7 linked regions of the Sus scrofa genome follow. The protein of the gene in region 1 interacts with the protein of each later gene in a pairwise test. Links are inferred from orthologs where the notes say so. Each region holds a gene or a part of one and is shown in the gene's direction. Other genes may lie near its edges. The genes, in order: TRIM32, ABI2, UBQLN1, CLIP4, PTCD2, UBE2U and UBE2V1.

Region 1 (3,428 bases):
CTACGGGAGCTCATGGGGGAGCTGCAGCGGCGGAAGGTGGCCTTGGAAGGTGTCTCCAAGGACCTGCAGGCACGGTATAAAGCCGTTCTCCAGGAGTACGGGCACGAGGAGCGCCGGGTCCAGGAGGAGCTGGCTCGCTCTCGGAAGTTCTTCACAGGCTCTTTGGCTGAGGTTGAAAAGTCCAACAGTCAAGTGGTGGAGGAGCAGAGTTACCTGCTCAACATCGCAGAGGTGCAGGCTGTGTCCCGCTGTGACTACTTCCTGGCCAAGATCAAGCAGGCGGATGTGGCGCTCCTGGAAGAGACGGCGGAGGAGGAGGAGCCCGAGCTCACCGCCAGCCTGCCCCACGAGCTGACCCTGCAGGACGTGGAGCTCCTCAAGGTCGGCCACGTGGGCCCCCTCCAAATCGGGCAGGCGGTTAAGAAGCCCCGGACAGTCAACATGGAAGACTCCTGGGCCATGGAGGCTGCGGCTTCTGCTGCCTCTACTTCTGTGACATTTAGAGAGATGGACATGAGCCCCGAGGAAGTTGCCAGCCCGAGGGCCTCGCCTGCTAAGCAGCGGGGAGCCGAGACAGCCGCCAGCATCCAGCAGTGCCTCTTTCTCAAGAAGATGGGGGCCAAAGGCAGCACTCCAGGCATGTTCAACCTTCCGGTCAGCCTCTACGTGACTGGTCAAGGCGAGGTGCTGGTCGCTGACCGAGGCAACTACCGTATACAAGTCTTTACCCGCAAAGGCTTCTTGAAGGAGATCCGCCGCAGCCCCAGCGGCATCGATAGCTTTGTGCTGAGCTTCCTTGGGGCTGATCTGCCCAATCTCACTCCTCTCTCAGTGGCCATGAACTGCCACGGGCTGATCGGTGTGACTGACAGCTATGACAACTCCCTCAAGGTGTACACCTTGGATGGCCACTGCGTGGCCTGTCACAGGAGCCAGTTGAGCAAGCCCTGGGGCATCACAGCCCTTCCATCCGGCCAGTTCGTGGTAACTGATGTGGAGGGTGGAAAGCTCTGGTGCTTCACTGTTGACCGAGGAGCAGGGGTGGTCAAGTACAGCTGCCTGTGCAGTGCCGTTCGGCCCAAGTTTGTGACCTGCGACACCGAGGGCACCGTCTACTTCACCCAGGGCTTGGGCCTTAATCTGGAGAATCGGCAGAATGAGCACCACCTGGAGGGCGGCTTCTCCATTGGCTCTGTGGGCCCCGACGGGCAGCTGGGTCGCCAGATCAGCCACTTCTTCTCAGAGAACGAGGATTTCCGCTGTATCGCCGGCATGTGTGTGGATGCGCGTGGGGATCTCATCGTGGCTGACAGCAGTCGCAAGGAGATTCTCCACTTCCCCAAGGGGGGCGGCTATAGTGTCCTTATCCGAGAGGGGCTCACCTGTCCAGTGGGCATCGCCCTCACTCCTAAGGGGCAGCTGCTGGTCTTGGACTGTTGGGATCATTGCATCAAGATTTACAGCTACCATCTGAGAAGATATTCTACCCCTTAGGGGGCTGAGTGATAGCAGTTTCTTGTGCTCCTCAGCCATCTTCCCTTCCCTCATTCCTTGGTGGTTGGTGGTACTGTAGCGTAGACTTGGCCTGTGTCCTGATTCCAGCTGGCTAGTCCTAGAAGTTTAGAAGCTCTGTCTCTTTTAGTGTGTTTGTTTGTTTTAATTTGCATTATCTCCTCCCTAAGTTTAGAGCTTTAACAGATGCACTGCCCTAAATAGGACACGATATGAGGTTAGCCGATGTTTGAGTAGAACCTAGACACTTCCAGGGCTTCAGTAGCCTTTTGCCCCTGTATTTGAAATTTGCCCTTGTATTGAATCCTTGTTGATTTTTCTCTCTTTTGGCTTTGACCACTCTGGTCCATTATTTCCTCCCTTATTGATATACACTCCATCTGTGACTTTCTCTTCAGCTCTGCTGCATTTAGCATGCATGCTCCAGTGGGACCTGCTGCACCTTTCAGTGACACTTCAGACATCCTATCCCTGTGGCATGATGTCTCGGGTCAGAGCACCTTTCACTTAGTGCCACCAAGGGAGACATACAGTCCCTCTGGGAAGCAGGGCCTCTCAGCTCTGGGGGGGTCTGTGCTATCTTGGATTGGTCTCCAGTTGTGGCAGTGACAGAGGATGGATTGACCCTTGTTGGCTGGTATTGAAGGCCTTAGCCTGGAAATTGCTAGCCTTTCAAAGGAGCATATGGATTGGAATTAGGCCAAAGCATAGGAAAATGGGAATAAACAGAAATAAATGCTTTTATAGTGAAAAGACACTGTTGGGTAGTCTCTAGAGCTCATCGTTTTTCATACTACCTCTCTCCACTGACCTGTGCTAAGAGCTGTCTGTGGAATTGTACAACACAGGCTGGGGCCAACACAGTGCAGAGGGGGACACATCTCATTTTCATCATTAAAACTGTGGGGTCCTTATTCTGTATTTTCCTCAAGTGAGTGCATCATATTTGGTTTGGGGATTTATTTCCATTCCTCTATCAAGCATTAAATGATTGATAACTGTTTCTTCATCACTGGTGTTCGTGTCTTTTCATTAAATATGGGATTTGGGAGGTGGGGGTGGTATCTGCTGCTTTGTTTCCACACCTGACACTCCATCCTTTGAGGATGGTAAGAATCTACCTAGGTCACCATTCAGCCAAAAGTACCATTATGTCAAGTTAATCCAGATCCTACTCCCACATAACCTGTGTATGGAATCAGCCTCCAAGGTCTGCAGTCACCAGCACCCTGTTTTAAACTCAGCCTCCACCTGCTTTATCCTTATAATTACAGTTCAAAAGAGGAAGGAATTTGTGATTTCAGGAAGACCTGAAGTGGGTGAGGGAATTTGTGACAAGGTTCCTCAGGCTTTGGTGTTTAACAAGCAACATATCTTGCTCTTTGGGTGCAGGGCTGATGACAAGCCAAAGAACTATTACCTGGCTTTCACAGAGCAGATTCTACTAAGCCAAGCTTCTCAAAACTGCTTTTTGGTGGTGGTGGTGCTTTTTTGGCTTCTGTTGTGATAGCTGACAAAGCATAGGAAAGAAGCTAATTAAAATGATGTCAAACTAGTTTGTCTTGTGCTTTTCACCTGGAGAAAAGCCCCACGTTCTGATTATGAAATTGCATCCGATTTTCAAAGACTGTATAATTGAGAGGAAATTGATCCAATTAAGAATGCATCGCGAATTGACTCCACCAGTTATTAGAGCCACTTTATCTGTTGTAGCACCTGGCAGCAGGAGATCTATCTTTGCTGTCAGAGGGGGACTTGCTGAGGCAGTAATGGTGTTTGAGGCCTTTGGCACAGGGTTTGCAGCGGAGAAATGGTGCTGCAGGCTGGCTTAATATAAACAATGCCAGGACTCCTAACTGCCTGTGCTTTTGGAAGGAAGTGCTGTCGCTGTTGGCATTCGGCACTTAGACCTAACC
Region 2 (3,993 bases), on another chromosome or scaffold:
CTCAATGAGCAGAGGTTTTTTTTCTTGGATGAAACAGAACATTTTATTTTCTGGGAAAAATTGTTTGGAAATTAGTTTCCTATTTTATTGTGTTTTTGATTTACGTTAAAATTTAAGAGATGCCCACACTTCTTAGTATTTTATTTTTGTTTTTATTTTTATTTTTTCGGTCGCCTGGAGGCATATGGAATATTTTAAATCCAAGGTTCTGACCTTCATTTTTCTTTCTTTGACCCAGTGTCTCATTTAGTGCCCTGATTCATTTTTAATAATGTGTGTATTTGTTTATGCCAGATTTTGATGGTAATAGAACAGACACGGTCATTGCAAAGTGACCTCATTCCAAATCAGTGAGCCAGCCCTTGAGTGGCCCAGAACAGTTTAAAGGAACCTGGGGAGCTTTTGGGAAAGTGAATTATAATTATTACTTTTTTTTTTTGGTCTTTTTGTGTATTTTAGGGCCATACCCACGGCATATGGAGGTTCCCAAGCTAGAGGTCCAGTAGGAACTGTAGCCGCTGGCCTATGCCACAGCCATAGCAACGCAGGATCCAAGCCGCATCTGCGACCTACACCACAGCTCATGGCAATACCAGATCCTTAACCCACTGAGAGAGAGGCCAGGGATCTAACCTACATCCTTATGGATCCTAGTCAGGTTTGCTAACTGCTGAGCTACGACGGGAACTCCAGGAGAGTGAATTATTGAGAAATACATAAGTCAAGTGAGTAATGTCATTTTAGGAGAAGAAGAGTCTTTAATTTTCACATGTTGAAATCCAGTTTTGTTTTTTTTTTAAAGACCAGAATCTCATCTATACAGTATCAGTTTCATGTCAGAGTGTTTGTCATAAAAAATTTGGAAATGTAAAGATGAGAACTAACTTAAATAATCACTAGTGTTCCAGTGTGTATCCTATTTCCTATCATATTTCCTTTCTTGTTCTTCTCATTCTCTTCTTTTAAAAGGGAATTTTGAGGGGAAAAAAAGGGAAATATGCTAATGAAATCCAGTTTACTTTGTACTTTACAGTTCAAAGTAAATAAGGTAGAAAGACTTAGGTGACTTTTTATTTCTTCTCTCCCTTTTGAATATTGAACTCTGAAGAGGGTAAGGGCAGTCAGGGTGGAAGTTGAAGGAGGATGTGAAGAGAGAATGGAGAATGAGATTCCATTGTTTATTTCTCTGTGTGGAGATACAGTTTTATTTCTGTGTACTAGCTGTATACAAAAGGAATTGAATTGTTGTTGCTCTTGATCATCAGTGTGGGGGTTGTGGAGCCAAATTCTAAATTTATTTACCTTACTTTTTGAATACTTTTGGTTAGGGAGAGAGGGGGTGAGGAAGACAATTAGTGCATTCGTACAGTGCAGTTGGGAGAATTTGATTTGGCACTAAAATACTTTGAACGTATCTTAGAAGAGAGTCTGGGAAACATTGGCCTACCAGGTGGGAGAATCTTCATGCTCTCAGAATGAGTGAACAAAATTGCATTGGCACAGGGAAATGAGGTCAGAGACTAAAAAATAACAGTAGCATCAAAACCCTAATGGTGAGGTGATACTTATACTGAAATTGGTAGCTGGGTTTTTTTAAAACACATTTTACTATCTCTCGAGTACAAATTGTATTTCACTACTGGCAACTCTGAATTTATTGTGCCGAAACTTGCTAATCACACGCTACATACGCTCTTCTTTTTGTAGGCGGCACTCCCCCTATCGCACACTGGAGCCAGTGCGTCCTCCAGTGGTACCAAATGATTACGTACCTAGCCCAACCCGTAATATGGCTCCCTCGCAGCAGAGCCCTGTGAGGACAGCTTCTGTGAATCAAAGAAATCGAACTTACAGGTATTTTCTCTACCTCAGCGCAAAATGTGATGGTCATAGTACCATAATTTGTTTAGATAACTTCAGTTAAACCTTTCTCATTTTCCAAGCACTAAGTTCTTTTCCTCACTCTACTCCTCCAAACCTCATCTGATTCCACCTCTCTCTCCTCATGTTCTGATGCAAATTTGAGCAATCAGCAAGTTGAAAAAGAACAAACCTTTCAAAGTGCAAACTCCTTTACAAGATCGATAGTTTTAGTTGACCCGAAAAAAAATTGTGGACCGGATGTGGGAAATTTCAAGTTGTTTTTTGGTGGAACTTTACAGATGAAAAACTATACGCAATAAAACACTAGTATGGGGTAGTCGTGATGTTGCAAATAAAATTAATCAAATAATCTGTTTAGGAAAACTTTTTATTATAAAAAAGATTCCTCAGGCAGCCATTTTAAACTGGAATGAAAGAAAGGAGTATTATTTTTCTGTGTTGAGCCCCATCATTTGTCACTTACATTGATGGAGAATTTTTTTTCTTTCCCAACTTCTTTAATACATACTCGTTAAAAGGTATCCAAAACAAGTTTTTTTGAACTCGGCTTTTCCCTTTACTCTGTTAAGGAATTCATATTTGAAGTGAAAGACTTTGGAATTATCATCGTATAGCTATATTCATTTCAGAAAATTTTGGAAAATGCTGGTGATACCTTACCATATATAAATGCTCATGGTTTGGTGGCTCTTATTCCTTTAGCAGCAGCGGGAGTAGTGGAGGAAGCCATCCAAGCAGTAGGAGCAGCAGTCGGGAGAACAGTGGAAGTGGGAGTGTGGGAGTCCCCATTGCCGTTCCCACCCCCTCTCCACCCAGTGTCTTTCCAGGTAAAACATGCATTGTGCTTCATCATCACCTCTCCTTTTGGAGTCTTGAGTTGAGTTTCTGATTTAATTACAGTGGGTTTTCTTCATAATTGGATTTTTTTTTTCCCTTTAAGAGTCTAAATGTTGAGAAATCTTTATCCATTTGTTATTTTAGCCAAGTGATTTGTAAGTTTGTTACAAACTTCTCTGTTATTTGGTTTAATGTATTTGGTGCTATGGCTGAGGTGGTGCTTTGAGGTTTCAGATACCACCTTGGAATGAGTTACGTGTTTAATTCCAGCTGGTGTTATGACAGTGCATGCCTTTGGACACAGTGGGCACCCAGTGTGAGGATCAGATTGGTAACCAAGGATTGGACAGATATAATTAACTAGTTAAATTTAGCTGACTCTGGAACTTAATAATCACTGAAATGCTACCCGCTTTTCTCTGAAACAAAATAATGTATGGCTATACCACCCTGAATGCACCCGATCTTATCTGAAACAGAGAAATGTACTTGTTTAATTTGAGGACTCACAGTTAAAATTTAGTTTTTAAAACATGACCCAAAAGACATTAAGGATAGGATATTACATATTTAATTTGCTTTAATAACAAATAGATAATATCTTTTTAAAAGTCATGAAAAGGAGATTTGTATTTTTCTAAATTCTTTTTTACCAATAAGATGTTTATGTCTGGATACATGTTTAGTTTCTGATTCGTGTAAATCAAAATGGAATATGGTTTTTTTTTTTTTTTTTTTGTCTTTTTGCCATTTCTTGGGCCGCTGCTGTGGCACATGGAGATTCCCAGGCTAGGGGTCGAATCGGAGCTGCAGCTGCCGGCCTACACCAGAGCCACAGCAACTCGAGATCTGAGCTGCGTCTGCAACCTACACCACAGCTCACGGCAACACTGGATCCTTAACCCACTGAGCAAGGCCAGGGATCGAACCCGTGACCTCATGGTTCCTAGTCGGATTCGTTAACCACTGAGCCATGACGAGAACTCCATACTGTTGTTTTCTGGTGTTATGTTTAATTTTGTATACTATTACAGAATGTTATGGTAAAAATAACAATATAAAAGGAGCACCTTTCTTCCAGAATAGTGGCTGTCGAGTGAAAAGGAATGATGCTTTTTTTTTTTTGCTTTTTAGTGCTGTGCCTGTGGCATATGAAGTTCCCAGACTAGGGGTTGAATCAGAGCTGTAGCTACTGGCCTACACCGCAGCCATAGCTACATGGTATCCAAGCTACATCTGTGACCTACACCACAGCTCATGGCAATGCCAGGT
Region 3 (4,432 bases), on another chromosome or scaffold:
GTCCTTAGTCAGATTCGTTTCTGCTGTGCCACGACAGGACCTCCAGCTCTTATATTTGTTTCACCAATCATTTAACAAACAAAAATTGTTCAAAAGAATATGCCTCAGACACCCTGTGGCCAAATCAGATCCTAGGCCTGTTTTTGTAAGTAGTTTTACCAGGACACAGGGAGGCTTAGTTACCCATACACTGTCTGCAGTTGTTCTTTGTTACAAGCACAGAGCTGAGTATTTGAGATGGAAAATGTATGGTCCACAAAGCCCGATACAGCTACTATCTAGTCTTTCGATGGTTTCTTACAAGGTAGAGTTGTATCCAAAAAGGGCTCTAATGAATTACTTAACTACATAGTCTTACAGATAAATTCTATTACTCCATAAATTGAGCATAGTCATCAGAATTTTTGTAGAAATTGATGTAGATATAAATAATTACAGAGAAATTTTTCCTAAGTGTAGGGTTAGAGATAAATGATTGGTTTTCCAATGGCAGAACTTTCCACCTTGACAAGTAATGATTACCTCACATCCAGACACAAACAAACAGTCATCTTCTAGCAGAGAGCCTTGTGTAACTTCTTCATGCTATTATTGAACAAGCTGCCAGGAATGTAGCTGATATCAGATGATGCCTATGTTGCAATTTACACTTTGAGAGCTCCTCTTAGACCGAGATTCCAAAGGAGCTCTGCTAAAAAGTGGTCTTCATGTAAGAGTACTTATAACCAGAACAGAGTTGGATGGCTTAAGAACAGAAATACAGTACGTATCCTTGCATATTTGGATCATGGTGGGGTGTCAGAGTTTACACTTGTGCAATACTGGTTAATAAAGTTCATGTCCTGTGTTGTACATTCCTTTGCAAGTCATCTTCAAAGGCAGATGATAAGTTCATTTCAAATTTAGAATTCTTTAGAGGGAAATTAACTTACTGTTTCTTATTTGTACCCATGTTTCATTGAATATAATCTTCGAAACTTTAATGCCACTTGAAGTCTGAAATGAAGCAGTAACTTAATTTGAAAGAATATAAAATGAACACCTGAGCTTCATTAAATTGTCCCAGTTGGGTGGGCACTTCTTGGGTACTCTGCTTGTGCCACAAACATTTGGGGGGATAGTATTCAGAGAACTCCAGGATGCACTAGCAGGGTTGTCAACGCAGGAGAGGCCACTGTCAACACAGGTGGCCTGATCACCTGACCAAACGGGACTGACCCGAGGGTGGGAAGCTCTGGCCATGGAGCAGTGACTCCGCGAAACTGCGCAAGGTGGCTACAGGCATGTACTCCATTTTCCTTTTCTTAGGACGAGGATTTTTTTCCTCCATTAATTCATAATTCAACTCTCGCGCACCGGGCTATAAGAGCAAGTGTTTTAAAGCTTCCAAGTGGGTAAGAATCAAGCACATTTAAAATCAACGAAACACCTTGCGGGCATTTGTTCTAGACCCTCCTCGCAGCAGGCTACGCAAAGCAGGTACGGGAGCTAAGGGGGTGCGCACCGCCACCGGGGGGAGGGGGGGTGTAAGGTGAGGGGGTTGGGGAAACTACCTGGCCCACCAGCGCGCACGCGCATCTCCAGCCGCAGCGCCCAGTGGTCGATACCCCTTTCCAGTACTTTCGCTAGCCGTGACGTCATCCCTCTGCGCCCTTTCTGTCTCCCCGAGAACACGCGAGTTTATTTTTTGGTGAAAGGGGTAAAAAGAAATGAACTGACCTCTTCTACCCCACTTTGTTTTTAGTCCTTCATTCTGAACGCGCCTACGCTTTGAGCAATGGAGCAGGAAAGGGCAAAAAAGCCAGCCAGAGTCCCAAGCGGCGCCGGCCTGGCATGACTCGGCTACGTCTCCAGCCGCGTTACCCGGCGTGCCCCGCGCGGCGCCGGCAGAGGGACGTGGGGGGGAGGGGCGGGGAGGAGGAAGCGGCGGCGGCGGCTGCGGATGTCGCTGTGAGCGAGCGGCATCTGAACACACGGCGGCTGCCGAGCGCCCAACCCGGGCCTGCGCCGGGGTCCACGCCAAGCTTCGCGGCCCCTCGCCCGCTAGGACAGCCCTGCGCCCGTTGTCACCGAGGCAGCGTGCCCCACATTCTCCGCTGCCCAGGCCGGCCGGCTCTGGCGTCGCCTGGCTCCCCCTCGTTCGCCCGCTCCCTCCTGCGCGCCTGAGTCACCGCCGTCGCCGCCATGGCCGAGAATGGTGAAAGCGGCAGCCCTCCGAGCTCCCAGGACAGCGCCGCCGCGGCCGAAGGTGCCGGCGCCCCCGCGGCCGCTGCCTCCGCCGAGCCCAAGATCATGAAAGTCACCGTGAAGACCCCGAAGGAGAAGGAGGAGTTCGCAGTGCCGGAGAATAGCTCAGTCCAGCAGGTGAGGGCCGCCCTAGGCTCGGGGCGTAGTGGGGATGGCGGCAGGACCTCCGCCCGCCGTGGGAGGAGACGGTTTTGCAAGGGTTTGGCGGTGGTGGGGGTCGTCCCCGGAGGTGCCCTCATCCTTTCTCCCGCGTCTCATCCCAAATTCGATCACACCCAAGTTCGTGGGTTTGCTCCTGGGGGCATCGCAGGTTTGTGGCGGGGGCCGCGCGGCCTTTTTGGGGGATGAACAGATGCTGCTTCTCTCGGCTCCTTCTTCGGGCGTCCACAGACCCCCAGCCTCCTCCTCCAGCTCCCCGCCCCCAGCCGCCTCCTTCTGGCTCCTCACAAAGGAAAGGGACCCGCCGCCTGGCTCCGGGCGGGGTGGAGTCTGGGTTAGGGTTCGCCTTAGCCTAGTCTGCGATTTTGTCTCGTGAAAAAAAAAAAAGGGGATGCTCATTGTTTTACCTGCCTACAGGTTAAGGTGGATTGGGGGATGACGAGCACGTGTACATTTGGTTCTGCGTTTTGAGTGCTGAAAATTTTCCCATCTTCCAATCTTTAAAGAAAAAATTAACTATGACGTAGAAATTGTTTTCAGCCATATCTTAAGTGCTAGTACTAGGCTTAAACAGAAGAGGGGATGACTTTCATTGACGATTTGCTGGTCTTTTTTTAAAGTGTATTTGTCATCGCTTAGATGCCAATCATTGGGGAGGTTTTTTGTTTGATTTTAGTGGGAGAACTGCGTTATTCAGATATTAGCGTATGCAGTCGGATAACAACGAAATTGGAGTTAATGGAGAACATGCAAATATGCTACTTAAAATCTGTTCAGGAATACAAATCCCGCAGTTAATAGTCTTGAGGAATTTAACACATTGTTTTAGCTTATTGAATATACGTCTCAGGATATTTTCTACAATTATTGAGTTGATCTCAGCGTGAACAGTTTATGAAGAAGCAAAAATTACTGAAACGTACTTGTGAATGTCCCTAGGAACAATAAATGATTAGGGCATTTGTATATATAATTCTGAAAGGTGTTGTGTTTTGTCAAGTAGTAAGTAGAGTGTGTAGCATCAAGTGAGAAACTTTGACCACCTATTGAATCACCATATTTTTTTCCCTCAATATAACTATAAAAAATTTCCTTAACGTTTTTATGTTTTCTAGCATACAGGGAAATTGAAATAATTGTGCAGTGAACACCATGTGTCCATTGCCTACAGTTAGTATCTAGCTTTATTTGCTCTGTCATACAATTAATTTTATTTTTTCGGATGCATTTCAGGGTAAGTTTTAAGCATTAGTACATGTTACTCTTAAAAAGCACTTTAGTAATGTGCCTATCATTAACCTGAATTCATTTTTTTAACCTAAATTTTTTTTAGTTAAATTTGACTTGCGGTGAAGCGCACAATTGCCATTCCATGAGTTTTCCCACGTACATACACCTGTGTAATCCGAAGCCTTATCAAGTTGTAGAACTTTATAATTGACTAGGAAATTTCCCCCTTGCCCTTTCCCAGTCAGTTCAGTGACTCTCCTCCGTTAACCACTGTTTTGATTTCTTCCATGGATTCATTTTGCTTTTTCTAGAATTTCACATAAGTGGGATTATTGGGTATGTACTCTGAGTAAGGCTTTTTCTTTCAGCTTAGTGTTTTTGAGACTCCTTGTGTATCATCAGCAGTTCCTTTTCATTGCTATGATTCTTACTTTGTATGGATATACCACCGTAATCTGTTTATTTTCCAGTTGAGGGTCACCTGGGCTGTTTCCAGTTAGTTGCTATGAACATTCTTGTATAAATCTTTTGATTGGACAGGTGCTTGTATCTTTCATGTTAAATGCTTAGAAGTGGAATGACTGGGTCATAGGGTAGCTGTAGGTTTAGTTTCACAGGGAACTATGTTTTTAAAAAATGCTTGTGCTCTTTTACGGTCCTACTGATAGTGCGTCGGAGTTCCTGTTGCTCCACATTCCCACTAACATTTGATAATATCAGTCTTTTTTATTTTAGTTATTGTAGCAAGAGACCTACAAAAGGATAATATTGAAGGCTTAGACTGTATCAGGCAAAT
Region 4 (3,993 bases), on another chromosome or scaffold:
GGGTTTTTGTTTTTGTTTTGTTTTTTTTCTTCCCACTATCTCATGAAAATAAACACCCATACTCCAGGAAATTGAATGAAAGGGCCTCTTGTTTCCAACTCATGTGGACACAGCTTAGCTCTCCTGTTAGATGAGTAGTTCAAGGAGTTACTGGGCCTATCCACTCACCACCATTCTGTGTTAGGACATTGACTAGGAATCTCTGAAAAACCATTAAATATTAGAGTCACGTTACAAGTTGCATTTACTTAGAGCTGGGGTGATAGGATTCCTATGTAAATCAAAATTTGAGGGTTTTAATTCCTGTTATTGCATCTATTATCTATTGTTGGTTATTTAGGGCCTTTTTTTTTTTTTTCTTTTAAATCTTAGGCTGACTTTGCATAATTCATTATCACCAGTTAACCATAGTAGGATTTGAAATAGAAGTATGTACTCAATCCAGCTCATCTCTAGGTTTGACCAAGTTTCCCAGACCTTTAGATCCAAAAATTGCTTTTAGGAAAGTATTCTAAAGCTATATAAAGTTTGCAGAGGTATATAGTTTTAAGTGAGACAGAGGTAGAATGTTGGGTTTTTCATGGAAAAAAGGCAGTGGAACTAGGGAAAATGCATGAAGAAGAAAATACGAAGACTGTTCACTGCATTATTGAGGTAATATAGTAGCTTCCAGGGGCTTGAAATATCTAACATGTGAAATGAAATTTGTTACATCTTATTGAATGAATCATCTTTCCACCTTGAATCTAGGATTTGAATATTTACTAAATATGTGTAAGACACTAATCTAGCTCCTGTGGCAAGTGATAGTTGTGTAAGATGCAGTTCCTATTTTTAAGAATCTTACCAGTCTACCAGGAAATGAAAGGTATGCTCTGAAGACCATTTTAAAAAAATATTTTTGAATGAGAAACCCCACTCTTTGAAAGGGAGGTTTTGAAATGTGGCTTCCTCCTAACCAACTAACCAACTCAGAAAGATAACCACCTAATCATTTTGCTGCAAAGTTAAGAGTATAAAAAAACATGACTGAGTCCCAAAGTGTGAATGTAATCTTGTGGTTTTTTTTTTTTTTTTTTTGTGCCACACCCATGGCATATGGAAGTTCCCAGGCTAGGGGTTGAATCAGAACTGTAGCTTCTGGCCCATGCCACAGCCACAGCAACTCGGGATCCGAGCTGCGTTTGCGACCTACCCCACAGCTCATGGCAACCCTGGATCCTTAACCCACTGAGCAGGGCCAGGCATCAAACCTGCATCCTCATAGATACTAGTTGGGTTCGTTACCTCTGAGCCATGACAGAAACTCCCAGTGTAGTCTGCTTTAAAAAAAAAAATCAGTGGTTTCCTAGTGATCGTGGAATTAAGTGGCTTGGTGTTTGGTCAGGTATATAAGGCATTACTGGGGCGAGTCCTAAAAAACCATTGATGGGCTCCACTTCTAAATCGCTGCCTCTGTTTCTGCCTGCTCATCTTTCAGGACCTATCTTAGGTGATACCTTTTTCACTGTACCACTTTTTTTTTTGTCTGTGCCCACAGCATGTGAAGGTTCCCAGGCCAGGGATTAAACTCATGCCACAGCAGTAGCCAGAGCCACAGCAGTGACAATGCTGGATCCTTCACCCTCTGAGCCACCAGGGAACTCCTCACTGCACCATTTCTGATTCTCAAGAGCTCTCTAGCAAATGTTCCTTGTACTTAGGTTATGGAACATATCTCATACTATTTTGTCATTTTTAGTTATTAGTATTATTTTAGTCACCTTAACTGACTGTAAGCTACTTCACAATCATCGACCATCTGTTACTCATATTTGTATTCTCTGAAACATCTAGAATAGTGTAATGTCTTATACATCTTAATATTTATTAAACTTTATCTCTGTTCCTTGACTTTAAAGGATGCTTCATACCCTGCATAGAATATTTTGCCTAAATTTACTGCCAAGTAAAGTAGAGCCTTGTCAACAAGTAGAAATCCTGACCGGCTTTGAATACTGAGAAGCTCTAGTGTTGAAGGAGGGCTGTATTTGTGGTTATGTGCTACTTTTTGGAGTTGTTAGTATCTGAGGACGCTCACCATACTGTATGACAACAATCTTTCATATGTGACAAGGGGAATGTCAATCTGATTCAAAGTATTGGGTGGCAGGTAATTTCAGCATCCAAGAAACCTCGACTGCCTTTAACACAGTAACACTGGATTACGTTATTTAATATATAATATAATGTGTCTGTGTCAACATGTACCTGAAGAGAAAAAAGAAATCATCTTACTCTTTACTAGTTCCTACTAGTATTCAGAAAATATATAAATCTAGTTGGGAACAAAGCACTTAGCTAGAGAGGTGACTCTTTCCTTGAAGCAGCGGGATGATGGTAGGTAAATGCGGTGGTTAAAGATGATGGATATAGAGTTGGTTAACCAAGTGTAATAGAACACACATTGAGTAATAGCATGGCATTTTCTGCTCGGGTGAGCTCTCAGATAACCATCTTCACTTATTCTATTCTTTCTAGTGAAATAATCTAAAATCATTTTTATTTAGTTTTATAACATAGGTTTCTGCTTATATTTCAAACAGATGTATTGATTCATAATATTTCACACTTCAAAGATTTGGTACAAACGAAACCGGAAGGATTTTAGCTTCATCGTTCAGTTGTACTTACACCTTTTCTGCTTTCGGTGTCATTTCTGATGTGTGGGCTAGTGTATAGCTGCGTATAATTTAGAGTAACTTTATTCTGAGTGCTCATGTTTTCTGGGAAAAACAAAACAAAAAAAAAGAGGTAAGATAAGTGCTATGGTTTAGAAGGCATGGCCTTCCATCTGCTGCTAGGAGAGATGGAACAGATCCTCTACCTTGTTGAGACGTGGAACAGTGTCAGTAAGCTCATTGATTTAGATTCGTAGGAATGATGTGAGATGTGATCTGCTATCAGTAAAGTGTTCTGGGATGTCAGAAAATAATGAGAACATTCTAAACTAGACTATTTTCATGTGATGAGCACATGACATGAGCTATTGGATGATAGATGATAGAACCTTTGTCAGATCCTGTTAGAAGTTAGAGATCCATCTGCAGGGATATGTCCTCATTTGTTACTGTGAGTAAAGGGAACATCACCCATTTGGGTTAGCTCAGCATTTTTAAATTGTTTTCTCATATTATTGGGGAATGTATAGTATTTTTATTACTACTGAGCTTTGTCTAAAAAGATTACATGTGCTGCTGACCCTGAGAAACAGTGTGAAGCAATGTGTACTTTCTAACAAAGACTGATTAAAGGAAGTTTTTTTTCCCCTTCCTCTTTAAAAGAGGTTCTTGAAGGTTGAAGTTCAAAATATCAATATGTTAGTTTTTTTTTTTAATGTAGGCTTTTTTTGATTGAAGGCAATCATTCTAAGTTGCATACTAATATAATAGATATATTTTTCCCCCCTCTCATTAAAGGTGGCTTTCTAGAAGATGACCATAGAGGACCTTCCAGATTTTCCATTAGAAGGAAATTCTCTGATTGGAAGATACCCATTTTTATTTCAAGGTTCCGATACACCAGTTATTTTTTCCATTTCTGCAGCACCAATGCCTTCAGACTGTGGTAGGTTATGTAGCTGTGTTTATTTTCTATGAACTGGTAACTTGACTTCTGTCTTATACCTTTTTATATTTTTAATTTTTATAAAACCATTTGTTTTGGTTTTTGTAAAATTGCTAAAGTTTTCCTTTTTCAGGAATACAGTTGCTTATTGCTCTTTCTGCCTCTTAAGCCAAATGCTTTATTTCGACTGTCAGCACTTTTATTATGTAAAAGTGTTCATTTTAAGCACCATGGTGGATTCAGAGGATCTTATTTTTAGAATGCAGTGGTGCTTAGACATTTAGCATTCTTCTGCTATTGATGTATTTATTTTGGTTAAATGCGCTGACTCGCTTAAAAAGCCATGTACTGAAAAAAAAAAAAAAAGGAGACATAAAAGCAGTGTGA
Region 5 (3,993 bases), on another chromosome or scaffold:
TGTCCACACAGGGGGGTTATTTTAAGAGAAGAACGTGGAACTTGGGAAACCCAAATCTCTTAAAATGAGCAGTGCGCTGTCTGTCTTCCCAGGCTGCTGTTGTGCAGACACCCTTGACAGTATAGTCTGGACTAGAGACAGTCAGTGCTCCTGCCTGACGGTGAGCGACCCACAGAGTGTTCTTTCCCGACGAGGGCTGTGCTCACAGTTTTGCCTGTGCTCCAGAACACTGCACCTAATCAGGTCCTTTGGAGTTGGGCCCATTTAGGATCATTTCATTCCGTTCTTTAGGACCAAAGACCACCTCTCATTCTGATCAGCTGCTCAGCAAACATGCAATATTATAACAAGGACTATTAAGAGAACTTAGCTGGTTTGGTATGAAAAAGGAATATCTCTTCCAGAAAAGAAAAAAAAAAAATCATCCTTCCTAAAGATCAAGAGCCTTAAACAATGTTTATACCCTTTGACTTTGTAATTTCACTTCTGGGAATCAAATCTAAGAAAGTAACAATTTTTTTTTTTTTCACCATTTCTAGGGCCCCTCCCGCGGCATATGGAGGTTCCCAGGCTAGGGGTCTAATCAGAGCTGTAGCTGCCGGCCTGCACCACAGCCACAGCAACGCGGGATCCGAGTCACGTCTGTGACCTGCACCACAGCTCACAGCAACGCCGGAACCTTAACCCACTGAGCAAGGCCAGGGATCAAACCCACAACCTCATGGTTCCTAGTCGGATTCGTGAACCACTGTGCCATGACGGGAACTCCAGAAAGTAACAATTTTTAACAAGTATGCACATTTATTGATATAATAAAACATGTAATTGCTTTATTTGCTGCATTATTTACATGCTGGATTGCTCTGCATTCGTTATTAAAAATTAGGTTTTGAGATAGGAAATGAGTTCAGACACCCTAGTCACAGAAAGGGCAGCTCCCGCTGGCAAGTGCTGCCGGTGAGCGTGAGCTCCTAACATGAAGCATGGAGACTCGTTCCCAGCTCCCCTGCTCCTGTCCTGTAGCATCAGGACCTGGGGAACTTGACCTTCATACTGGCTCAGAAAGGCTTTCCGAATAGTTGATGCTTATCAGGGGTTGGTGCCAGATACACCCGGGGCAGCTACAAACAGAGTCTGTCTTTGCTGCACCAGCAGGGCCAGCAGCGTCCCCTGAGCTTGCCAAGGCTGAGGTGCGAGAGAAACACCCCCAAGACCCCCGACAGGATCCAGCTCTGAGCAGCTGCAGTGGCTCCAGCCCGTCACCTCCTTACTGGGTCTCCATTTTCTCAGGCAGTTGGGGTGAGGCTGAGATGAGGACATGTAGGAAGCAGCGGGAAAACCGTGACACACACAGGACCTAAGACCAACCCACCCACCTTCTTCCTGCCTGCCCTCCCTGCTGACTTGTCAGGTTATCAGGAGGGGGCTGGCCCAGGGTCAGGGACACATCCAGGTGTTCATGGTGTCCCCACAGTTCACTGTGACCCCCTTGTCTTTCTGGAAGCAGCAATCGAGCCCCAGAGAGAACATGGCCCTGCAGGTGCTGGCCATGTGATCTGACAAGTTCTCAGTGCTTCACTCAGACATCAGCAAAATGGGCATAATAATAATACCTACCTCATGGGGTGGTCATGAGGATTAAAAAAAAAAAAAAAAGTAGGTTTTATTTTTTTCCCTAAAATTATTTAGAAGATAATACGTAAGATTTTAAACAATGGTTAACATCAGTCGGTGAATTCTGAGGTACTCTCATTTTCTTTAAACTGTTCTGTATTTTTCAGCGGGCGCTGGCAATGGGGAGGGCTGCAGGAGAATGTGTTTTTGCCCTTCTGTTAATTGTACCTGACGGCAGGCGGTGAGCAGTATCACGCGGAGGCCACGTCTAGGGCCCCCTTTTGAAAGTTCCTTACTAGCTACCATGTAAATAGGAATTCCTCATTAAGACATTAACCAGCTTCCACTCTACACTTGCAACAACCTCTATCCCTGCTGTTTCTGAACCCCAAAGTTAAATTAAAAAGATAAAGGTATCATTTGCCCCAGAGCCAGTCTTTAGGAGACTGAATGTCTCAGCCTTGAATCTAGAAGAAATAGGAAAAACTAGCAGTAAGGATTATTGAGTACCTCCTGCATGTTAACAGTAACCCCAAATGTGAGCTGTATTTTCCTCATGTTACAAATACAGGAAGTGGAAGAGATTAAATACCTGGCCAGAGTCACTCCGCTGGTGACTGCCAGTGCCGGGATTCTGGCCCCGCTATGCCAGACTCTAGAATTCCCCCATTTCTGCCCTTTAGCAAGTTGTGAAGTTTTGGTGTTTTGATTAGCTACTGAAAACAAATTTTGGCTTGTGGGCATTCATTTCGAAGCTCTTTTGAACCTGTGCGAGCAAATGAAGGAGGAGTTGGCCTGAAAGTGGGGGGGGGCTGTCAACGTGGGCTCGTCTCACAGGGTTCGTTGCTCAGTGCTGATGACTGGCTCCGTCTTGTGTTTGCTTGTTTCTTCTTTTTATTCAGATTATGATCCATGTCCAATCCAATATGCTGAAAGCCCTCATAGAAATCCTGAAGGATGCCACAGAGGGAAATTTATCAAGATTTGTGAAAAAACATGTGTTCTCAGAAGAAGTGGTGAGTATGGACAGAGATGACAGAACGGAGCAGGGGCAGTCTCTGAACCGGCCACTCAGTACCTTAGTCCCCTAAGGCCACCTCCTTAAACAGAGGCACAGATCTGGCTGCCTCGCTGTTCTCTTGTCAGTGTGTGGGCGCAAAGTCCGTTCTCCCTTCTAACGTAATAGAGCCTCTGCAATTCGAGGAAAGCTTTCTCCCTTTACATAGTTCTTTCCCCACACTGTTTGCACGGGGGTCGGCTCTCTTTTTTCCCTTTCTCCTCAAGCATCCACTTCCTTCTCCCCACTCCTCATGCTTCAGGGGTCAACCTTGCCTCATGTCTCAGAAGGAAATAGAAGCAATCAGAGCAGAGCTGCCTCCTTGTCCCCCCACCCTGCCTTCCCTCCTGAAGCCCAGGTGACTACAGACAGACAGCTCTCTAGAGCCAGCTCGGCTCCCCAGCTGCGCCTGGGGCCCTCCCCTCACCCCTTTGGAGCCTCCGCACTGCGCCTGTGGATCACTCCCGTGGGCACATAGTAGACAGGAGCATCTCATCTTTAAAAAGAGCTCCCCGCCTTAAACAAGTGAAAAGACAGACCTGGTATTTAGATAGGAAGACTCAACCGCATAAAATTAGTTCTTCCAAAGTTAATGTGAGAATGTAACATCACAATAAAAATACCGTTAGGTTTTTTTCCTATAGTTAAAGCTTAGTAGAGCAAACTAGCAAGAGTAGCTGGGAAAACCCTGGGAAAGAAGAGTAGGAAAAGGTGCCAGACCTGCTGGATATGAAGCCACACTAAAGCTGCTCTAATTAGAACTCTCATTTTGGCTCCTGAGTAGACCAACTGATGGAACCATATAAGTGCTTTGCAAAATTATAAAATAAGTTAAAATTGAAAAGAAGCAATTTCTAAACATTGAAAGAAAAATGAAACAGAGGAACCAATGTGTCACATTGATGGCTTAAGCACACAAAGAGGAATTGTAAGTTATTTGAAATTTAGAAGGCTGGCAAAGGGAGCCTGTCGGCAAACTAATTGGATAGGATTAAGTCTAAAGCTTCTTTCTATTTGATGTCTTAGCGCTGTGTAGGTTGTGCCTCACCCACACCTTTCCGGAGGATGTTTAGAGAGGTAGGGAACTAGAAGGTAAAGCGGGGTTAGAGCGCTGGAGAGTGTGTGTGTGTGTGTGTGTGTGTTCCTTAGACCTGGCTCATGCATATGTTGTTCTAGTCGTGTGACTGAACCATCCAAACAAACTTCACGCTGAAAAGTGCTGGTTGTTTTGTTTCCCCTAAAGCCTACAAGGCTCATTTACTCAGAAAGCTCAACCTCCAGTTCCCTGTGTCCTCTGGTTGTTGTGAGGCCACTCGGGGAAC
Region 6 (3,993 bases), on another chromosome or scaffold:
GGTGCCACCAATGATGTTATCAATGTCCACAGGTGCCATAGCTGTTTCATCACAAACAATATGGAGAATTTTTAAAAAATGGAAGGGTCAAGGGACTACTTAAGACTAGAAAGCTGTGCATAGGAAGGTGTAGAGTCCTTATCAACAGCTCCTTCAGGTATAGTTCAATGGCATTGCTCGGTTTCCACTCCTGCCGTGGAAGCATTGTCTTAGTGGATGCTAGGAACAATTACTGAGTTCAACATCAAACATCCTAGAGGCGTGAAAGTAACATTGGATACTGTTCCTGCTCCACCTGAATTTGTGGCTTGCTGTTGAAAGAAAATTTGATGAAGGGAGAAATGATATGTAAATATAGTTGATGTAGATAATAAAAGATGTAATGGTTATTCAGACTAGCACTCAACATAGCTAATAACTGTGTGGTTGCTCAGAGTGTTTATTGACTATGTTTAAGCATATTCCTCAGTGTAATGAATAACCTTTATCTATGAAATGTATTCTTGTTTCTCCATTGGAATAATAGCTCAAGTGTTTTATTCTTATATATGAGCGTGCTATTGGAGTTGTGTTTTACTTAATGAAATTTTTCTTACTTTATACTTATATAGCCTCCATATGGCTTTTAAAGGCTTTGAAGAAATGCATGCTTCTAACTATTCTTTTCGAAATTTGAATCTTATATTGTCTGTTGATTTGCATAAGCCACACATTCCATTCATGACCTTCCTATCCCACTCATGATTTCCACACTAATGATTTATTTTAAATGTACTTTTTTGTGTGTTTTCTGGTATCTGCCTTAACTTCTGTGAAGTAAGACAATATATAACACCTTCCCAAATCAAAAAATAAAGAAATTTATCAGAAAAAGAAAATGCAGAGCTTCGGGAATTTATTGCAACCTAATATTTGATTTTCAAAGCTGCAATAACTAATCCTTTTTCTGCTTTGATTTTTCTTAATTAAAGGGTATTAATGCCTTTCCTATCAGTGAAGATTTGTTGGAATGGGAAGTTGATATTAAAGGTCTGCAGAATACAATTTGGCAAGGTTTGTGCTTTCAAACATACTTTACTTTTTTAAAAGTCTTTATGTTATTAGTCTAATTTCTTTAATGTTGCATTATATACTTTTTTGAGAATTCTAAAAGTATTCACATGTTATTTTTTCATCGTATGGCTTAATTTTATTGCTATTTGTTAACATGGGTGTGAATTTCAGGCCTGAATTTTTCTTTATGCCACATCTTAATATCATGTTTTTAAGAAGCAGAACGTAAAGCATATCAATTGAAAATATCATCTCACAGTCTTCCATGAAACCAGAGAAGGGCAATTAAAATACATACTGGCATAAAAATCCCACAGCTATGTCTCATTCTTTTCCCTCTTTGATTTTCTCACAAATCTCCACAAATCAAATTCTCAAGAAGACTAGGGTGCTATAAACTTTAATGACCATGCACTCGTACAGAAGCAGATTAACAGGATATATTTGTTTGGGTGAAGTAGGAGAGAAAAACAGGTTAAGTGGATAATTACAGTAAAATATAATGTGCCATTATGGATTTTGAATGGATGACTGAGAAGGCCGTGATTAATTTTGCCTTAGAGATTCAGGAACAGCTTCCCAAGGAAGTGACACTTGAGTTGAGTCCTGAAGAATGTATGAGTGATGGCCAGATTTAGAATGAGAAGGTGATCCAGGCAGAGCAAAGAGCCTAGCAAAAGCCTCTATACAAGAGAGGGTTCTGAAGCAATGAGCTCAGTAAATATGAGGTGCACAATGAAGGGGACACAGTAAATATGAGATTCCACAGAGTCTGTGGGTGGAAAGGACTGGTGGGAATGGAAATGCTGAAAACAGGAGATTAGATTGTGAGGACTCTTATTACACTGTTTAGTGGGGTCTATAATCCAATTTACCTGTTCATAAAATCCTTGGGACCTTGGGGAGTCAAAACTGTGCAAAGAAACTCCAGTGTTAATCAGGTTACAGTTAATCAGTACGTGACACTTTAGTAAAAATGTTTATTTCTATATCATAGGATCATTCTTCCAACTGACAATAAGTTTTACATCAGAGTACAATTTTGTCCCTCCAGTTGTGCGATTTAGAACGATTCCTTTTCATCCAAATGGTAAGGAACAAATGAAGTTATTATTGTCATGGGCTCTTTCCCTATTAACCTTATTCTTTATAGTGTTTAATAATGATTCCTTTTAATCACTTTGTTATGATTATAAAAGTCAGCGTACTTACTCAGGAAAATATTAAAAGGCATAAAAAATTATCCATCTGATTCCTAATTCAGACAGATGCAACTCTCAACATTTAACCACATTTATTTCCTTTCTTCTGCATATGCATTTTATCTGCATAGTTGAGGTATTTCCACATAAAGTTTTATATCTTTTTTACTTAAAATGACAGAATACATTTATTTCTGTATTATTAAACATTCTTCAAAGAAAACTTTTAATGACTGAATGATAAACGTAACCATTCCTGCGTTGTTCAGTATTTTAGTTGGATCTAATTTTTTACTTAAAAAAAAATGATGCACTGACAAATTAACATCTTAAAAAGAAGTTAGATTGCAACTTCAAGTTATGCAAATTGTTGATCAGTTATAAATGTAAAAATTTCGACTATTAAAACGAAGACAACCTAATAGAATTTTTAATATGCTGGTGAGGAAGGCTTTTCTAAAAATAACAAAACCTAGAAACTACGAGAAAAGCATGACACATTAAATTGCATAAACTTTAAAAAATGTCTCTGTAACTAACAACATTATAAAGAGACAAAACTGCATTGACATTTGTAAAGTGAGGAAAAATATTTGAAAGGCATAAATTAGAATGTTTATAATATGTAAAGACCACCTGTAAATCAATAAGAAAAACATAAAGCAATAGAAAAATGGGCAAAGGTTATAAACCAACATTTGATAGAAAAAACGTAGTGAAAATAAACATAAAAAGATGTCAGCTTCACTAGAAAGAAAATAAATGTTAAAAATAATAACACAGGCATTCCCATTGTGGCCCAGCAGTTAACAAACCATGAGGACGCATGTTCGATCCCTGGCCTCGTTCAGTGGGTTAAGGATCTAGCATTGCCATGAGCTATGGTGTAGGTCACAGACGTGGCTCAGATCCTGCGTTGCTGTGGCTCTGGTGTAGGCCTCTGACTCCAGCTCTGATTCAGCCTCTAGCCTGGCAACCTCCATATGCCATGGGTGTGGCCCTAAAAAGACAAATAATAATAATAATAACAACAACACAGGAGTTCCCTCCTTGTGGCTCAGTGGGTTAAGGATCCAGCATTGTCATGCTGTGGCTTGGGTTGGGGCTGTGGTATGGGTTCGACCCCTGGCCCAGGACCTTCAACATGCTGTGGACATAGCCAAAAAAATAATAATAACATACAGTTACAGTACAGGTGGGCAAACAAGAGTTCTCTGATATAATGATATATAGAGTGACCTTGTGGGGAAGCAATTTGACAGTTTCATATCAGATATAAAGTGCAAATAGTCCTAAATCCTTGTAATACCATGTTTATAAATTATTTCATAGAAATGCTAGCACAAGTATGAAAGAATATGTTTTCTTCTATTTGAAGTATAATAGATTTACAATATTATGTTAGTTTTAGGTATGCAGCAAAGTGTTGCAGAACTTTGGCAGATTATATTCTAGGTTATATTCTAGGTTATTATATTAGATTATATAATAGATTATATTATAGGTTATATTATAGGTTATTGCAAAATAATGAGTATAATTCCTTATGCTCTACAGTATATCCTTGTTGCTTATCTATTTTACGCACAGTAGTTTCTGTTAATCCCATACTCTTGATTCATCTTTCCCTCCTTTTCTTTCCTCTTTGATAACCACAAGTGTTTTTTTTTTTCCTTTATCGGTCAATCTGTTTCTGTTTTGTATACACATTCATTTGTATTAGTTTTTGATTCCGCTT
Region 7 (4,576 bases), on another chromosome or scaffold:
GAGCAGACTCAGGCTGCCATAAGGAGAATGGAACATGAGGGCAAGAATGGAGGCTGCTAGGTCATCCAAGTGGGAGAAAGGGGGAGCCTGGAAGAAGTGGATGGAGAAGAGAGATGCTTAGGAGACACTGCTGTCAGAACAGAATGATGAATTGCATGCACTGAGTGAAGGCTTCCAACTTCCTTGTTCCTCTGCACTGAAAGCCCTGGTGTTTTCTCTGCCCATATTTAGCTGTGTTACCTTGAGGCAATCTTTTCACCTCTCTCAGCATCAGTTTCTATATCCATATTAAGGGCTTCTCAGAACATTTAAGATTGAAGAGTTTCTTCTGGATTTAACATTTGCAAAATGTCCCCAGGGCCTTTGCACATGCCATTCCCTCTACCTCCTTCCTATTATTCAGGTCCTTATTGAAGTTTGAAGGAGGCCTTAGAAGGCCCTCCCTGACCACTCCTTCTCTAGTTTACTCTCTATCCTATTATAGTTATGTTCTTTCCCACTTGTTTACTTTCTTCCTGTCTCCAACTAAAATGTAAGCCCATGAGAGCAAGGGCTTGCTTTTTCAGGGATTATAGTCATCCTTAGCACCTAGGACTGCATCTGGCACATAATAGATACTTAGTAAATATTTGTTTGATATAATGAATGAAGGAAGGAACAAGCGAATGGGGAATGCGTTCCTTGACACTTTAATGCCCCCCAAACCATTTTAGCTACCCTTCTATAAGACCCTTCTGGCCTGGGAGCATCCATCCTGGAAGCAAGACACCTGGCCCACATTCAAATTCTGACTGAGGCACTTAACAGCTGAGTTTAGTTAAATCGGTTAACACCTCTTCCCTTCACTCTGCAGTTTAATCCCAGCTTCATTCTTTTATCCCCACCTGGTAGAAATGTGAAGATCCAACTAGATAGGAAAATGCTTAAAGCAAAATAGGCATTTTAAAAAATATATTATAAATTTGCATGTTTACTTTTTTACTTTTATCGATTTACAATACTGTGTTAGCTTTAGGTGCACAGCATAGGGATTCAGGTTTTTGTGGTGTGGTGCTGTTGTTGTTTTGCAAATTATATTCCATTATAGGTTATGACAATACGCGGGTTTTTTTAAGCTTTCTTATCTTTTTCTTTCCCAGTCACGCCTTTCCAAGTCTGATCACCCTTGCCTTTCTCACCAAGCACCTCAATAGCTCCTTCGCACCCAAACCTGAAGGACCTTGCAAGCTGCTGGCCATGGCGCACGCAAATATTTCCTCTCCTAAAGGGCAGAAAAAAAAAAACCTTCCCGGCAACGGGTCCCGCGGTCTGCGGAGCTGGCGTCAGCGGAGGGATTTGCGCATGCGCACACGCATGCGTAGAAAGGCCCCGGGACGGGCGGGGGGTGAAGAAGGGGCCGGCCTTTGAGCGACAGCGACGCAAGATGGCAGCCACCACGGGCTCGGGTGAGCGGGGGCGCCGGGCCCGGCCGGCCGAGGGGGCAGGGGTTCGGGCCGGGGGCGGGGGACCTGCAAAGGCCCTTGCTGCGGGGCTAGGGTCTCTGCGTTGCCTCTGTCTGCTGGGCCCCACGGCGGCGACCCAGGCGGCCTGAGTGGGGAGGAGGAGCAGGCGGTGGCCGGAAGCACGGGCGGGGGCCTGAGGGGCCTGTGGGAGGCGCGGCAAGGCCCAGAGGCTCCCCCGGGCGGTGTGAGGGCCCAGCTGAGAGGAAGGGCCCGGCCCCGCTGCGCTGCTGGGCGGCGAGAGCGGGCGAGGGGTGAGCCCAGAGACACCCCTGAGGAGACTGGAGCTGGCGGCTCTCTGGGGGGAGATCAAGGGGTTCTCTGGAGGACGAGGAGGCTCCCCCAAACGAATGGAAGTCCTTTATTGGGTGCTGAGGGTCTAGGCGGGGGGGAAGCAACCGTGGGATGTCCATTTAGCGGGGACTTCAGAGAAGCCTCTCCGGATGGATGGGGGAAGGAAACAGCATTCTGAGAAGTGATTGAGAGGATCCCCCATTGGTTCAGGGGACGACTCCAGTGTTAGTTTTGGGGATGGGGTTAGCTGAGGAAATTTCTATGTTGATTAGAAAGGGGGTGTCTGGGGTGTCTGCTTTTGGGGAGATTCGGGGTATCTCTACAGGATAAGAGAAGGGGAAAAGGATTTCTCGGATTCCAGCGGGATCTCGTTGGAGCATCAGAAAGTGAAATGACCCCATGGTTACCAGGCCCCTATTTGAGAAGATAGATGTTAGGTTTTTGGATAGCTCCGGGTAGGGCAGTTGGTGGAAGCCTGCGATACTGGGCGAAGAAGAGATGAATTGGGAGCCCTGGAGGTGTCTGGGGTAGGAGTCAACTGAGGGAAGCCCCATGCAGTGGGTGACAGTAAGAAAAGGTCGGGTTTCAGAAATATTTCTTTTAGAAAAGATCTTTATTGAGTGTCACTCCTTTCCACTCTTTTGAATATTGATAACACATGGTTGTTCAGCTCAGCAGTTCTCCATCGACTTGATGGGCATGGGGAGAGGGACAAGTGAAATGGGAACCTTGGGTGACTGGAGAAGAAGGCTGAGAGGCAAGAGAGCATGAGGGGGCTACACTTTGTGTGTGTGTGTGGAGGGGGGGGTCTACCAGGCCCTAGTAGATAAAGGGAAGTAGCATTTATTTTGAAACTGGATTCCCTGCTCTACATTTCTGAGATGTGCCAGAGGATCAAATCCTGAAGGGTCTGTTTCAGAGTTAACACTCCCAGTTGAGCATCAGGGGATGGACTCAAATGGCCTTCTGGAGCAGGCAGGCTGAGGATTGCCTGAGGAAGGTCCCTCAGAGGGGTTGATGATGCAAGAGAGTCTGATTCTGGAAATGCAGGATTTGGGAATGACAGTGTCTCCCTCCCTTTTGGTGAGGATGCTGTCCCCTGAGGTGCCTGGCAGTCAAATTGGCCAGTGAAGTCCTCCCAGATGAGGTGACAGTGGGTGACCTGTGATGGAAAAAGCAAACAGGACCACCAGCCCGGACATTGAAATCTGATGCTGCAGCAGTGTTGTTAGGAGAGAGTCGGTGACCCAAAGTGAACAGGGTGGGGGGAGTGTGTCTTTCAACGATGGTCCCCCTCCAGTATCCTAAGGAGCCATCTTTGGCTGATTGTTATAGTGGGAATAGAGGGAATTTGAAGTGGGGGATCTGACTGAAGTCACCTGCCACAGGCTGCCTTTTATACTTAAAGCAATGGGGTCTTCCTAGAGGACAGAGGAAACCATACATCATTTTCCTAGATTTTGATTTCAGTTGGAACAGTGCTGAGTCAGTTCATTTACCAAGAGACCGCCAGAGACATTCTCAGAAGAGAGAGGCTGAGTCAGGCCAGACTGCTGTGGGAAACCTCTCACTAGAATAACACCCCTGCCAGGTTGCTATGAACAGGGGGGTGCACTGTGCCTGGAGCAGCCAGCATTATGGTGCTCTTGCAACTCAGCCCTGTTGGCAATCACTTGATAGTGGCTACCTATAATCCGGTTTAACAGCTACCTAATTCTAACTTCTTGAGGCCCTGCCAGTTGAAGAGTTCTTCATAAATGCTGTGGTGGTCAGATAAAACATCTTCAGCTGCTGTCTAGTGGCATATAAGAACACTTGGCATGGTTTAGATAAGATGGAACAGGTTTTGAGTTGCCCTAAAATGGGTTTCCCAGAACTCCTTTATTTATTCAACAGGTATATTATTAAGGGTTTGCTGTGTTCCGTGTGAATAGCGAACAAGATGGACATAGTCCCTGTCCTTGAGGAGCTTCTCTTCAAGTCAGGAAGAAGCCCATTAAAGGACAAAATAATTAAGAAGATTTCAGATAACAGTAAATGCTGTGAAGGGAATTGTGTAATGTAATAGTGTCTGGAGAGGTGGTCAGGAAAGGCTTCTCCAAGAAGGGGCATTTGAACTGAGACAAATGATGGAAGGAGCCAACAGTGTGTGTCACAGGCAGGGGAGGGGGAGACAGTGAGTGCAAAGGCCCCGTGGCAGGATGAAGCTTGGCATGCTGAAAGAATAAAATAAAGGCCTTAGTGTGCAAGGAAGTCTTCTTAAAGAGATGGGTTGCAGAGATACGGCTTTGGATTTTTTTTTTTCCCCTTCTTTTTTTTTAATGGCTGCACCCTGGGCATATGGAGATTCCTGGACCTGAGATTGAATCCAGTCTACACATCAGCTATAGCAGTGCAGGATCCTTTAACCCACTGAGCTGGGCCTGGGATCCAATCCATGCCTCCACAGTGACCCCAGCCACTGCAATTGGATTCTTAACCCCTTGCACCACAGCGGGAACTCTTGGTTTTGGATTTTATTCTGTGTGAAGGGAAGCCATTAACAAGTGTTTGGTCTGAAAGAGACATTCAGTAAATATTTGTTGAATGAATAAATGAGAGTCTTAAAAAGAGGAGAAAGATCCGATATCTGCTTCCAAGCAGTAAGAGTGCAGAGTGCTACGGTCGAAGCAGAAAGATTTTATTTGTATTATACTAAAATAAGTGTACAGGCCTCTCTGCTAACCCTGAGAAGCCTTTCAGGTGTGGTCAGAGGCCCTGAGGCCTTCCCTAGACTGGTTTAG

Evidence for each region.
Region 2: the proteins of TRIM32 (region 1) and ABI2 interact in binary tests that used the Homo sapiens proteins (3 or more experiments, as listed by UniProt). The link is inferred for Sus scrofa from reciprocal best matches to the Homo sapiens genes TRIM32 and ABI2.
Region 3: the proteins of TRIM32 (region 1) and UBQLN1 interact in binary tests that used the Homo sapiens proteins (3 or more experiments, as listed by UniProt). The two-hybrid records come from large-scale screens. The link is inferred for Sus scrofa from reciprocal best matches to the Homo sapiens genes TRIM32 and UBQLN1.
Region 4: the proteins of TRIM32 (region 1) and CLIP4 interact in binary tests that used the Homo sapiens proteins (3 or more experiments, as listed by UniProt). The two-hybrid records come from large-scale screens. The link is inferred for Sus scrofa from reciprocal best matches to the Homo sapiens genes TRIM32 and CLIP4.
Region 5: the proteins of TRIM32 (region 1) and PTCD2 interact in binary tests that used the Homo sapiens proteins (3 or more experiments, as listed by UniProt). The two-hybrid records come from large-scale screens. The link is inferred for Sus scrofa from reciprocal best matches to the Homo sapiens genes TRIM32 and PTCD2.
Region 6: the proteins of TRIM32 (region 1) and UBE2U interact in binary tests that used the Homo sapiens proteins (3 or more experiments, as listed by UniProt). The link is inferred for Sus scrofa from reciprocal best matches to the Homo sapiens genes TRIM32 and UBE2U.
Region 7: the proteins of TRIM32 (region 1) and UBE2V1 interact in binary tests that used the Homo sapiens proteins (3 or more experiments, as listed by UniProt). The link is inferred for Sus scrofa from reciprocal best matches to the Homo sapiens genes TRIM32 and UBE2V1.

The regions. Positions count from the first base shown.
Region 1 is NC_010443.5:257,064,391-257,067,818, forward strand, and holds the end of TRIM32 (E3 ubiquitin-protein ligase TRIM32), read left to right. Parts: coding exon 1-1,494; 3' UTR 1,495-2,521; downstream 2,522-3,428. UniProt on the Homo sapiens protein: E3 ubiquitin ligase that plays a role in various biological processes including neural stem cell differentiation, innate immunity, inflammatory resonse and autophagy.
Region 2 is NC_010457.5:106,856,543-106,860,535, forward strand, and holds part of ABI2 (abl interactor 2), read left to right. Parts: intron 1-1,707; coding exon 1,708-1,854; intron 1,855-2,586; coding exon 2,587-2,711; intron 2,712-3,993. UniProt on the Homo sapiens protein: Regulator of actin cytoskeleton dynamics underlying cell motility and adhesion. Functions as a component of the WAVE complex, which activates actin nucleating machinery Arp2/3 to drive lamellipodia formation.
Region 3 is NC_010452.4:31,274,695-31,279,126, forward strand, and holds the start of UBQLN1 (ubiquilin-1), read left to right. Parts: upstream 1-1,221; 5' UTR 1,222-1,479; intron 1,480-1,719; exon of another isoform or gene 1,720-1,744; 5' UTR 1,745-2,184; coding exon 2,185-2,364; intron 2,365-4,432. UniProt on the Homo sapiens protein: Plays an important role in the regulation of different protein degradation mechanisms and pathways including ubiquitin-proteasome system (UPS), autophagy and endoplasmic reticulum-associated protein degradation (ERAD) pathway.
Region 4 is NC_010445.4:110,174,531-110,178,523, reverse strand, and holds part of CLIP4 (CAP-Gly domain-containing linker protein 4), read left to right. Parts: intron 1-3,458; 5' UTR 3,459-3,473; coding exon 3,474-3,606; intron 3,607-3,993.
Region 5 is NC_010458.4:48,628,878-48,632,870, forward strand, and holds part of PTCD2 (pentatricopeptide repeat-containing protein 2, mitochondrial), read left to right. Parts: intron 1-2,516; coding exon 2,517-2,630; intron 2,631-3,993. UniProt on the Homo sapiens protein: Involved in mitochondrial RNA maturation and mitochondrial respiratory chain function.
Region 6 is NC_010448.4:148,300,321-148,304,313, reverse strand, and holds part of UBE2U (ubiquitin-conjugating enzyme E2 U), read left to right. Parts: intron 1-971; coding exon 972-1,053; intron 1,054-2,050; coding exon 2,051-2,143; intron 2,144-3,993. UniProt on the Homo sapiens protein: Catalyzes the covalent attachment of ubiquitin to other proteins.
Region 7 is NC_010459.5:51,661,290-51,665,865, reverse strand, and holds the start of UBE2V1 (ubiquitin-conjugating enzyme E2 variant 1), read left to right. Parts: upstream 1-1,367; 5' UTR 1,368-1,423; coding exon 1,424-1,445; intron 1,446-4,576. UniProt on the Homo sapiens protein: Has no ubiquitin ligase activity on its own. The UBE2V1-UBE2N heterodimer catalyzes the synthesis of non-canonical poly-ubiquitin chains that are linked through Lys-63.